3 linked regions of the Sus scrofa genome follow. The protein of the gene in region 2 interacts with the protein of the main gene of each other region in a biochemical or structural test. Links are inferred from orthologs where the notes say so. Each region holds a gene or a part of one and is shown on either strand. Other genes may lie near its edges.

The links. The genes of interacting proteins can lie anywhere in the genome.
Region 1: the proteins of SORT1 (region 2) and NGF form a complex in vitro, tested with the Homo sapiens proteins (3 studies listed by BioGRID and IntAct, with this or other methods). The link is inferred for Sus scrofa from reciprocal best matches to the Homo sapiens genes SORT1 and NGF.
Region 3: the proteins of SORT1 (region 2) and BDNF form a complex in vitro, tested with the Homo sapiens proteins (2 studies listed by BioGRID and IntAct, with this or other methods). The link is inferred for Sus scrofa from reciprocal best matches to the Homo sapiens genes SORT1 and BDNF.

What each region holds. Positions count from the first base shown.
Region 1 is NC_010446.5:105,304,947-105,308,420, forward strand, and holds the end of NGF (beta-nerve growth factor), read left to right. Parts: intron 1-2,002; 5' UTR 2,003-2,014; coding exon 2,015-2,740; 3' UTR 2,741-2,897; downstream 2,898-3,474. UniProt on the Homo sapiens protein: Nerve growth factor is important for the development and maintenance of the sympathetic and sensory nervous systems.
Region 2 is NC_010446.5:110,719,874-110,724,045, forward strand, and holds the start of SORT1 (sortilin), read left to right. Parts: upstream 1-1,271; 5' UTR 1,272-1,340; coding exon 1,341-1,652; intron 1,653-4,172.
Region 3 is NC_010444.4:32,675,591-32,679,599, forward strand, and holds the end of BDNF (brain-derived neurotrophic factor precursor), read left to right. Parts: intron 1-2,394; coding exon of another isoform or gene 2,395-2,415; coding exon 2,416-3,174; 3' UTR 3,175-3,432; downstream 3,433-4,009. UniProt on the Homo sapiens protein: Important signaling molecule that activates signaling cascades downstream of NTRK2. During development, promotes the survival and differentiation of selected neuronal populations of the peripheral and central nervous systems.

The DNA.
Region 1 (3,474 bases), about 5.4 Mb from region 2:
ATTCATTCTCCGATTTTGAGGACTTACTACCAGCCTGGCACTGCAAATGGCCCCAGAAATAGGTAAATTCAAAAGGCACCGCTTCTGAAGTGCTCTCAGGGACAGAGACGCATTAAATGACTATTCATAGCACGAGGAGAAGTAACAGGGTTGTGCACAAAGCGTCAGGGAAGACAAAGGGTGGAGTGACTAGCTGGGCAGGTGGATGAGACAGGCTCTGACCTCTGGGACCTTGTGGCAAGTGGGGAGACAAGCATGATTCGTTAGGCTTGAAAAGAAGCCTGACAGACATAAAACTATGTGCTCTGAAGAGACATGGCTGGAGTGCACTCCAGGAGTGAATGAGTGGCAATAACTGAAAAAAGCAAAGTCCTGACCACAGGACATTGGAATGAAATAGGTATGTGAGCACCTATTCAATCCTAACAACAACCCTGTGAAAGAGTGTTTATTGCCTGCTTTTTCCATGGGGAAATCAGTGCTCAGGAAGATGAAGTGACTTTCCTCTGCTAACACGTTGAGGGGTTAGGTATCCAAAGAAGGTTTCTTAACCCCAGATCCAGTGCAGGGTTCTTTTCATTACACTGATTTAGTGGAGAGAACACACACACACACACACACACACACACACACACACACACTTCTAAAGTGTGGCTGGGGTGATCTGAGAAGGTCTCAAGGAGACAGTGGTACCCATGCCAGCCCAGAAGAGTAGGCAGGGAGCAGAATGATCTGTGGGGAGAGAAATGGGGAGGGATCAAATCAGAAGTTTAACACCCTCTCTAGGGGACACCTCTAACCCTACCAGGAAGATCGGGGAAACTTCCTAGAGGGGGTGACATGTGATAGATGTGCACAGGTGTACACAGGAGCTCACCGGAAGTGAGCTCAAGAACAGAGCTAACTTCACAGCTAGTTGACCTGGAGGTGGACACTAGTGGGCAAGTACAGTGCAGTGCAGAGCCCTGTCTGGCACATGCTCAAGAGGGGCTTGTGCTGCCTTGTGGGGACAGATGATTTATGCCATTTGACCCATTCTCATCTAAGAAGATTAAATAATTTTTTTAAAAGACACACTTAAAAATGAAAGAGAAAGAGGGGTAAGGAAGGAAGGATGGAAGGGTGACTGGCTTAGTGAGGGGTCAAGTTTGGATTCTATTTTTGGTCCAAGTTTTGCGACTATAGGCCCTTAGTTAATTTTCTGTGGCTCACTTTTCTTATTTGCGATTGAGAGATGATAAACCCTAACCTAACTCCCAGACTAACAAGAAACTAGAAGTGAGCGTGTTTGAAAACATCACCCCCGCAAAGAGGAACCATTATCAGTACTGCATCTATATGTGCACACGAGTGGCTGAATAGATGGACTGGCTAGAGGTGATCCCAGAGCCGTACACTGTTTTGGCCAAACAGTGCTTTGTGGATTTTCAGTCACCAGATCTCAGAGCTGGCCCAGTGCTGCTGTCTGAAGAGGGTGTTTTCAGTGCTGAGGCTTCAAGACAAGTCCCCAGCAGCCTGCCCTCTCCCTTCCCAAGCTGTTGGGCAGGACACTGCTGGGAGGTATCAAACTGCCCTCCAGCCAGCCCGGTGCACACTTGTGCACACTTATCACCTGACCACGGCTGCCTTGCTGGCAGGTAGAGAACACAAGGGGTTCTGTAAACAGCACTGCTGAACTCATACCACACTATGGGGCAGAATTTCAGGGGCTCTGTCCCTTCCCGGAAAGGCCCACCCCCTATATGGAGTCTGAGCCCGGACAAACAGGTTGTCTGAGCCAGCCCTATTTAAGCCTGGTGTCCCAGTGCAACTGTTGTAGCAGTACCTTTCACTCTCAGAAGTGTCCTGGTTTGAATGGTCAATTCCCGGTCCCCTTGCCCTTCACCACCAGGAGAAGCCTCCTCGTCATCCTCTTGGGAGGGCAACTCCGAGGAACCCAGAAACTACCTCTGCCCAACCTGCAGCGCTCCATGGAATAACCCTCATTTCTGTGTCATTCCAGGTGCATAGCGTAATGTCCATGTTGTTCTACACTCTGATCACAGCTCTTCTGATCGGCGTACAGGCAGAACCGCACACCGAGAGCAATGTCCCAGCAGGACACGCCATCCCCCAAGCCCACTGGACTAAACTTCAGCATTCCCTTGACACAGCCCTCCGCAGAGCCCACAGTGCCCCGGCTGGGGCGATAGCCGCCAGGGTGGCAGGGCAGACCCGCAACATCACTGTGGACCCCAAACTTTTTAAAAAGCGGCGACTGCGTTCACCCCGAGTGCTGTTTAGCACCCAGCCCCCGCCTGTGGCCGCAGACACTCAGGATCCGGACTTGGAGGCCAGCGGCGCCGCCTCCTTCAACAGGACTCACAGGAGCAAGCGGTCGTCATCCCACCCCGTTTTCCACCGGGGGGAGTTCTCGGTGTGCGACAGCGTCAGCGTGTGGGTGGGGGACAAGACCACTGCCACGGACATCAAGGGCAAGGAGGTGATGGTGTTGGGAGAGGTGAATATCAACAACAGCGTGTTTAAACAGTACTTTTTTGAGACCAAGTGCCGGGACCCCAATCCCGTGGACAGCGGGTGCCGGGGCATCGACTCAAAGCACTGGAACTCGTATTGTACCACAACCCACACCTTTGTCAAGGCGCTGACCATGGACGGCAAGCAGGCTGCCTGGCGGTTTATCCGAATCGACACGGCCTGCGTGTGCGTGCTCAGCAGGAAGGCGGGGAGAAGAGCCTGACCTGCAAGCCAGCCCCCACCTCCCCCAGCTCCCCACCCACACTCTCCTGCGCCCCTCCCTACCTCAGCCTGTAAATTATTTTAAATTATAAGGACTGCATGGTAATTTATAGTTTATACAGTTTTAAAAATCATTATTTATTAAATTTTTGGAAGCAGCCTGTGTGCCAGCCCTCCCTCATTTTGCCCAGCATGACCATCTGCCAGTCTTGGGACGGAAGCTGCAGGGAGACGGGTCCACAGCAGGCCCGGCTCCCTCTCAGGCCCTCCTGGAGCCCTCACCCTCCCGGCGCCCGCAGCCAGCCCTGCCACTTCAGGGAAGGCTAACCAGGCTCCGATATTAGCCTAAGCCCGGCGTGATTAGGAAGGGAAGGGAAGTCTGTGGGACTGCAACTTTGCTCCGCATTCCAGAGCCAAAGCTACCTAATCCTTGGATTACCTGCCCCACAGCCTAGATTCTTCAGCCTTGATTGCCTCACTGGGGAAGTTTGTGGAGCTTCATCAGAAGGCAGATCCCTGCTGGGCACAGGGCTGCCCCCAACCTCAGAGAAGCCCAGGCTGGGTCCTATCTATCCGGCTCACTAGATAGACAGGAGGAGACTCGCACTGAAGACCTGTGAGGCTGGCTCGCTTTTTAGGGGGAGGTCTGCTTTTGGCTGAAAAGCGCTCTGCAAGAGTTGTAACAAAATCATCTCATGGGGCCTGTCACGGTAGATCTGATTTCATGTAAAGACT
Region 2 (4,172 bases):
TCAGATGCCATTTAAAAATACCTTTAACTTGTCACCTCTCGCTATGGTTGTTCTGACAAAATGTAAATTTATAAATGTAAAAAATGTAAGTCGTTGCAAATTAACACAACCAGAAGGATTTTAATGTAAGCCTTGGGTTGGGTGCCCTGCACCATTCATTTTGCTCTACAATGAATATATTCTCATTTGGATTTACCTCCAGTTTATAATTAAAAGTAGTTGTTAGCTGCTTTATTTAGGTGTAACATTTTGTATACTTCATATCTTCCTACTTATTACCTTTTCTACTGAGCAACTTCTAGCATTCCAAAGAGTCAATAAGGAGGATATCTAAAACTGGTTTTACTTCCACTGTGTGTTCCAGAATAATGTGCCTCTCCTTCCTGCGATAAACGGAACAGTGTAGGGGTTTTGTTTTATTTACTGGAGACAGGATGCTAATTTAAGGGACATCATATACCGAACACCAAACTTGTGCAATGCACTCACTGCAGGGTTAAAACACTTTGGTAAAGACAGATACGCATCTATACAATGATCATCTCTCAATTAGGCACTGGGCAATTCTGTCCCCCTTTTACCTGTCCCTTATGTCTAAGCTACTTTCTAACTCCAGGAAAACCAATAGGCAGTTCCTCCTTTGGTTAACTCCCTGCAGAAGAGGAAGATGAGTGAGGAGAGAATTTTCTTCGGGCTCGCATGAGTCACGGATGTCCTAATGTCTATCTGCCTCCGCGAGATTTAGCCCACACAGCTCTCACTCACTGTAGACAAATGGGGCACTCCAACCCTGCAAGGGTTAAAAGCCAGACGCACCGGTTAATGACAGAGCCCCCATTTCCAGCTAAGCGAGCTCAGGGATTCCCTGAGGAGATTTTCCAGGCGCTGCAGCAACCCAAGGAATTTTAAGGGTGTCTCTGGGGAAGAAGGGACCAATTCAGCCCCAACTTGAGGGTGCCAGAGGGAGGAGCTAGGGGTCGGGGCCCCACGGAGTTGGGGGCTTCTCGAGAAGGAGGGAAGCTCCCCATGCTAACTCTGGAAGCCCGGCCTGGGAGACGCCGGGCGATGGGGGGATGACCTCAGCGGTCTCTGCCACGTTCCAGCCAATCAGCCCCGCATCTTGGCATCCGAATCCAGGACCCCCTAAGCAGGAGGCGCCGCGAGCCAATCAGCAGTGGACCGGGGAAGAAAGACAGGCGGCCAGCCTATGGGCGGAGAGGTCTGGCTTGGCGTATCCAGGGAGCGCCGGCTCCAGCAAGGGGGGGGAAGGTGGGCGGCGCCGGCGGGGGTGGGCGGGCGCGCCGGGCGGCAGGTGTCGACGGCGTCGGCATTCGGCGGCGATGGAGCGGCCCCGGGGAGCTGCGCAGGGCCTCTCGCGCTGGCCCCACGGCCTCGGCCTCCTTCTCCTCCTCCTCCTCCAGCTGCTGCCGCCGGCAAGCCTCGGCCAGGACCGGCTGGACGCGCCGCCGCCGCCCGCTGCGCCGCTGTCGCGCTGGTCCGGCCCCGTCGGGGTGAGCTGGGGGCTGCGCGCGGCCGCGCCTGGGGGCCCGGTTCCCCGCGGCGGCCGTTGGCGCCGCAGCGCGCTCGATGAGGACGAGGACTGCGGCGGGGTCCGGGACTTCGTCGCCAGGCTGGCCAACAACACACACCAGGTGAGCGGGCGCCGGGCCGGGGCACCGCCCGGACTGTGAGGTGCTGCCCCCGGGCCCCTGGCGGCCGCCCGCCCCGCCAGCGCAGCCCGGCCCTCTGTCTTGTCCGTGCGCCTCGCGTCCCCGCGGAGGAGACCCCGGCTGCTCGCCAGCCCCGCTGGCCCGCGCTCCCCCGGCCGCAGCCCCGAAACTGCGGCTGGCCGGCGGGCGGGCCGAGTTGGGCCCGGGGAGCTGCCCTCAGATGCCGCGGCCGAGCATGTTTCGTCACAGGGGAGGCAGGCTTTGACTTTCACGGGATTCTTTTTTTTTTTAATTTTTTTTTTACTTTTATTTTTCTGTTTAATTGTCAAAATCTCTCGAGCGTCGTTGTTTTCCGTCTGTATAAATAATTAGGATCCAGTAACGCTATACCCCACCAGGAAGCTGGAGGAGTAATTACCTCTTAAGTGCTTGGAGAAGTTGGGCTACGCAGAAGCAAAGGTGTGTCTTCGCCGGGTCAGTACTTTCTGGGTGGGTAGGCGGGTGTTCAGTAATCCCAGAGCAGTTATTAGATTACTGTGTGTTTTAACGGCTAAAGGAACAAGCTTGGCAGTGGGGTTGATAGTACGTATATGATCTCTCTTACGCCTTCGATTTGACCTTCTGTCATGGCATTGGACTGTATCCCATTGTAACAAGATTTCCAACACTTAACACGTTGCAGATATTCTGCTTTGAGTTAGGTCCTCGTCGAAAACTTTAAAAATTATGGCAGTTCTGTCTCTGGGGATAAGCAGCTCAACCTTTGCATAGTACTACTGGTTGACAAAGCCAGTTGTTGGCTATGTCCTGGCTCCTTGCACCTTGGGCGTCTTCCTCATTTTTTTTTTTTTTCTTCCTAGAACTAGCGATTTAATTGCTACCCACATTTGCGTAATATATTTACAATTGAATATATTTTCTCTCTTCTATCCATCCCTCCTTCCTTCCTCTTTCAAGGAGAGTTGCACATGGGGACAGAAGTGAGTGGTTAACTGCACTTGTCCTTTTAGAACCACATGCTGTAATAGCCAAATCCCCCCTTGAACTGTCTTTCTCCCTCTGCCTGGATTATACTTATTACCTGTGCAGAATTCTCTGGTCTGGGGACCCAGGGCAGTTGCAGTCAAAGCACAAGCTGTCAGGGATAACTCTTGCTAAATGCAGTCCAAGCAGCAGCTGCATAAAAGTGGCCAAGCTAGTGCTGACGTGTGGGACAGTTTGGGTGCACACAGAGTGGAATGAGAACTGAGAAGTCTTCCTGTTTGACAATAAAAAAAAACTTACAGACTTCCATCTCAGTGGGGAGTTGAGAAAGGCTTTATAACACTAGCGCCTCATTTATAATGAGACCATTTCCTTCCTTGAGCCAGCTGGACACAGCATTCCTACTCCACATTTCAGATTCTTCTCTTGCTAGCTGACCTACCTTTAGGACCTGCTGCTACTCCTGGATTTATTCCTTTAGTCAGAGTCTTCCCTGTTTGGTTTGAATTGATATGTCATTTGTAATGCATTAATTTCTAGAAGTTGAAAAAAAAATGGCTCAAGTAGGTTCTTAGAACAAATCCACTCAAGAGCAGATCTGAATGAAACCTCATTCTTTGAAGTCCATATGTTAAAAAAAAAAAAAGTCTTCCCTCTTTTTCTTTCATTTTATTTAGCTGCTGTTTCCAGTGATTTTTTTTAAACTTATTTTTTTAGCCTTCTTTCAGTGACCTCATTTAAAAGAATTGCTTTTGCATTTCTTAATCATCCATGGTTTCCTCAGAGATTCCATCTTTTTTGTAGCATGTATATGTGGAAAAAGTGAAGCCACTATCAACAGTCTTCATCTTAGAAATGGTTGAATAAAGCAGTTCTTAGTGGTGCACCCCCTTAACCAAGAATTTTTATGTTGTAGTCGGTTCTGCTTTTCCACTCTATGTTTTTAGAAGCCGTAATAAATCATCCTGAACTCTATTGAAGAGATCCAGTGTTGGGGGATCCTTTATAAACTGTGAAATAAAAATATCAGCATGACTTTGTATTAGACATAGTGTATACTTTTGTAAGCTGGGAAAACGCCTTTTAGAGTAGTTTTTCATAAAATGACAGGATTCAATTCCCCAAAAAATGAAAAGTTCTTGCTTCTCTTCTTCTCTGTTAGAACTCGCTGTGCATGTCAAGCCACCTTACTTCATGTAGTCAGTGTACCTGGGTGCCCTCCAGATGTCCAAGATGTGCTAGATACTCGGGGTGCCAAGGTAGAAAGACGAGATAATTCAACTGGAGAACGAAGAGCCTCAAAAGGCTTTAGCAAATCTAGACCTATTTCTGTGGCTTATGTGGCGTGTGAGAATATGTTGGTGTTTAACTAAACTTCTTCTTTTTTTCTTTTTTCTTTTTTTTTTTTTTTTTTGTCTTTTTGCCATTTCTTGGGCCGCTCCTGCGGCATATGGAGGTTCCCAGGCTGGGGTCAAATGAGAGCTGTAGCTGCCGGCCTACACCAGAGCCACAGCAACT
Region 3 (4,009 bases), on a different chromosome or scaffold from region 2:
TTACTCTTTTTTTTTTAACATTTCTGAAATTGACTTGTATCTGGAACATCTTAAAATGATGTTATTTTATTGTCATTGGCTAGACAGTTACATCACAGTTGTCATTGCCTTAACCAATTTTCTTTGCTTAATTTTCTTTTTTACACGTGCACAAAAGTTACATCTGAAAAAATATGTTCAAATAAGTCTAAAAGAATTCTTTCCAGTTCTAAGTGATTAAAGAAAGCAATAGTTTAACAGGCTGCATTTTAAAAAATCTTAGTGGTGCATAAAATGGTGTGCTTTATAAGGATGGTATCATAGATTTCATGAAATGTGATATTAAAAGATAGCTGATCACAGCAACTCTCTTACCAGCATGATGTAAAATCCTAGAGTAAAATATTCTAAATTTGCTGCTTTTCACCGACTTGCATTTGAGGTGCCCCTTGGGTTGTTTTAATTTGGACGGGAAACACTAGGAGAAAGGGTTTTCTGTCAGTGGTGTAAATACTGCCTGCCAGGAAGAGAAACATCCTTGGAGGATCCATTTCTTTGATGGTGAAGAATCCAAACCCTTCGCAAAAGTTCAGGTGTTGGCAGAATGGATATCTGTGTTATATCTGTTTTATTCACACCAGCGTGCGCTTCCTCATCTCAAACCTTCCTCATCTCAGACTGTATGCTCCAAGCAGTTCTGCACATGCTTGCTGTTTGTGCCAAGTAAGCGTGAATCCAGAAGGAAATTGGCTGGTGTTTGGGGGCAGTAATCAAGTCCCGTAGTGGGAGAAAATGTGATCTCTGATAAAAGTGGAGAGGAAAACGGGGGTCTTGCTCCCAGAGTTTCAGCCCTTTCTGCAGTAAGACCTCCTGACTGCAGGTAGGTTCCCTTCCTGGCGGGTGACACTTCGTGGACAGGAAGACAGTCCCCTTTCCTGCTGGTTGGTACAGCATAACAGCTCTGGCACGCACGTGGTTTTTTGTTTAGTCCTTGCCTAGGACTGAGCGGTAGGAATAAAGTTAGTGTTGGGGCAGGGAATGCTCCCCTTTACTCCTCAGGGACGTGATGCCTCAGGTAAGTGCTTCTGAAGTCCTTCACCATCCAGCAGTAACCTTGTGTGGGTCTGTAGGTATGTTTTCATCTTTCCTGTTCATTCCTTCGAATTGGCTTCCCACAGCATGCTTGTAGACAAAGAGCCAAATTTAGTGTAGAGATTCCCTCTGGCAAACAGGAGAAGATTAATTTTGTGGTGTGCTGTTAAGGGACTTCCCAGAAAACTTCAAAAGCCCAGAAAGAAGCGCCAGCTGCCTGTACCAAAATGTGCACAGTGCCATTCAGCTTTTTCAAGGTACGATCAACGCAGAGCCCACACACACGTGCACACAGGTCACAGTCCAATAAAAAGAGAGGCAGAGCTCTCCTAGATGGGTTTGTGTTTGAGCCAGGGCCAAGAGGCCTAGAGTTAGTGGAGTTAACCACCAATGCCCATATGGCAGGCATTTGAAATTGCCTCCCCAGGTTTTTGATGCTGTCCTCTCCAATTCTTTCTTAAGCAAACACGTTGCTTTCATGGTATCAGCCCCAGGCATGGACACATCATTAAAACCAACGTGTGGAAAATGATTTCTGTTTGGAAATAAGCAAAACTTACTGTCACGATAACCACCCAGGTGTAGTAGAAAAAACACTGGAGCTGGAATTGGGAGCCCTGATCCTAACAGGAACTTTCTTCATGACAGGAGGCAAGTCCTCCATGGCCTTTGGTTTCCTTACTGACAAACCAGGATGCTTAATGAAATCATCTTTCTCCTTTGTTGCAATAGAGTGTCTCTCTGGGAGGAAAAAAGGTCAATGGGAAGGCACCATGCAACTCCCTGACTTCTGTTTTATTGTACTGTTCACACCTAGATAGCCTGTAGCTAGAAAGGCCCACTTCAGACCCCACAGGCCACCGCTGTTCCCTCCACACGTACCTGCCATTGGGCCATGTTGCCGACTTGAAGAATTACTATTACCCTTGATGCTTGGTAACATTTCTGATGTTGCGTTTCCTGTGACAGCCTGAGCAGAGAGCATTAAAAATTAAACTTACAAAGCTGCTCAAGTGGGCGGAAGGAGGCAAAGTTGAAGCCGCAGTTTTTTTTTCCACTTGCTCAGGAGCCATCTGATCTCGGGCTTATACGCTAGAGCTTGGGGCCAAGGCTGCACGTCTCTGGTTTATGTTAAAGCCCATCTAGCACACTACTGACATTAACCTGTGTCTGGTGCAGCTGGAGTTTCTCACCAATGCGTCAGAAACCTTGACCCTGCAGAATGGCCTGGAACTGCAGTCAGAGGGCTGCCTCGTCCCCTTGGGAAAGCAAGCAAGCAAGCCCTAAACAGTCTTGTGTCCTGTTTCTGCTTTCTCCCTACAGTTCCACCAGGTGAGAAGAGTGATGACCATCCTTTTCCTTACTATGGTTATTTCATACTTCGGTTGCATGAAGGCTGCCCCCATGAAAGAAGCCAACGTCCGAGGACAAGGCAGCTTGGCCTACCCAGGTGTGCGGACCCATGGGACTCTGGAGAGCGTGAATGGGCCCAAGGCAGGTTCAAGAGGCCTGACATCGTCGTCATCGTCGTCGTTGGCGGACACTTTTGAACACGTGATCGAGGAGCTGTTGGACGAGGACCAGAAAGTTCGGCCCAATGAGGAAAACAATAAGGACGCGGACATGTATACGTCCCGAGTCATGCTCAGCAGTCAAGTGCCTTTGGAGCCTCCTCTTCTCTTTCTGCTGGAGGAATACAAAAATTACCTGGATGCTGCAAACATGTCCATGAGGGTCCGGCGCCACTCGGACCCCGCCCGCCGCGGGGAGCTGAGCGTGTGCGACAGCATTAGCGAGTGGGTGACGGCGGCGGATAAAAAGACGGCAGTGGACATGTCGGGTGGCACGGTCACGGTCCTCGAAAAAGTCCCCGTCTCGAAAGGCCAACTGAAGCAGTACTTCTACGAGACCAAGTGCAATCCTATGGGGTACACAAAGGAGGGCTGCAGGGGCATAGACAAGAGGCACTGGAACTCCCAGTGCCGAACTACCCAGTCGTATGTGCGGGCCCTCACCATGGATAGCAAAAAGCGAATTGGCTGGCGGTTCATAAGGATAGACACTTCCTGTGTATGTACTTTGACCATTAAGAGGGGAAGATAGTGGCTTTATGTTGTATAGATTATATTGAGACAAAAATTATCTATTTGTATATATACATAACAGGGTAAATTATTCAGTTAAGAAAAAAAATAATTTTATGAACTGCATGTATAAATGAAGTTTATACAGTACAGTGGTTCTACAATCTATTTATTGGACATTTCCATGACCAGAGGGAAACAGTCATTTTTTGCGCACAACTTTAAAAAAAAAGTCTGCATTACATTCCTCGATAATGTTGTGGTTTGTTGCCGTTGCCAAGAATTGAAAAACGTTAAAGAAAAAAAAAGTTTAAAAAATACTACTAATAAATTGCATGCTGCTTTAATTGTGAATTGATAACAAACTGTCCTCTTACAGAAAACAGACATAAAAAAAAAGCGAAAGAAAAAAAAAAAAAGCCTAACAAAAATTTGAACCAAAACATTCCGTTTACATTTTAGACAGTAAGTATCTTTGTTCTTGTTGGTACTCTGTTTTACTGCTTTTAACTTCTGATAGCGTTGGAATTAAAACAATGTCAAGGTGCTGTTGTCATCGCTTTACTGGCTTAGGGGATGGGGGATGGGAGGGGTTTATTTTTGTTTGTTTTGTGTTTCTTTTTTTGTTTGTTTGTTTTGTTTTGTTTTGTTTTGTTCTTTAGTTCCACAGGGTGTAGGGATGGGGAAAGAATTCCGTCCATCTGTATTCTGGTTGATAAAAGATTCATTTGTATGTTGCAGAGATGTTGGCAGTATCAATCAGATGGCTGGAAAGTGAATAAAAACTAAGGCAAACGATTGAAGTGCACCTCCTAGGCGCCTGCTCACCCTCTGGGCCTTGGTTGGGGGAAGCT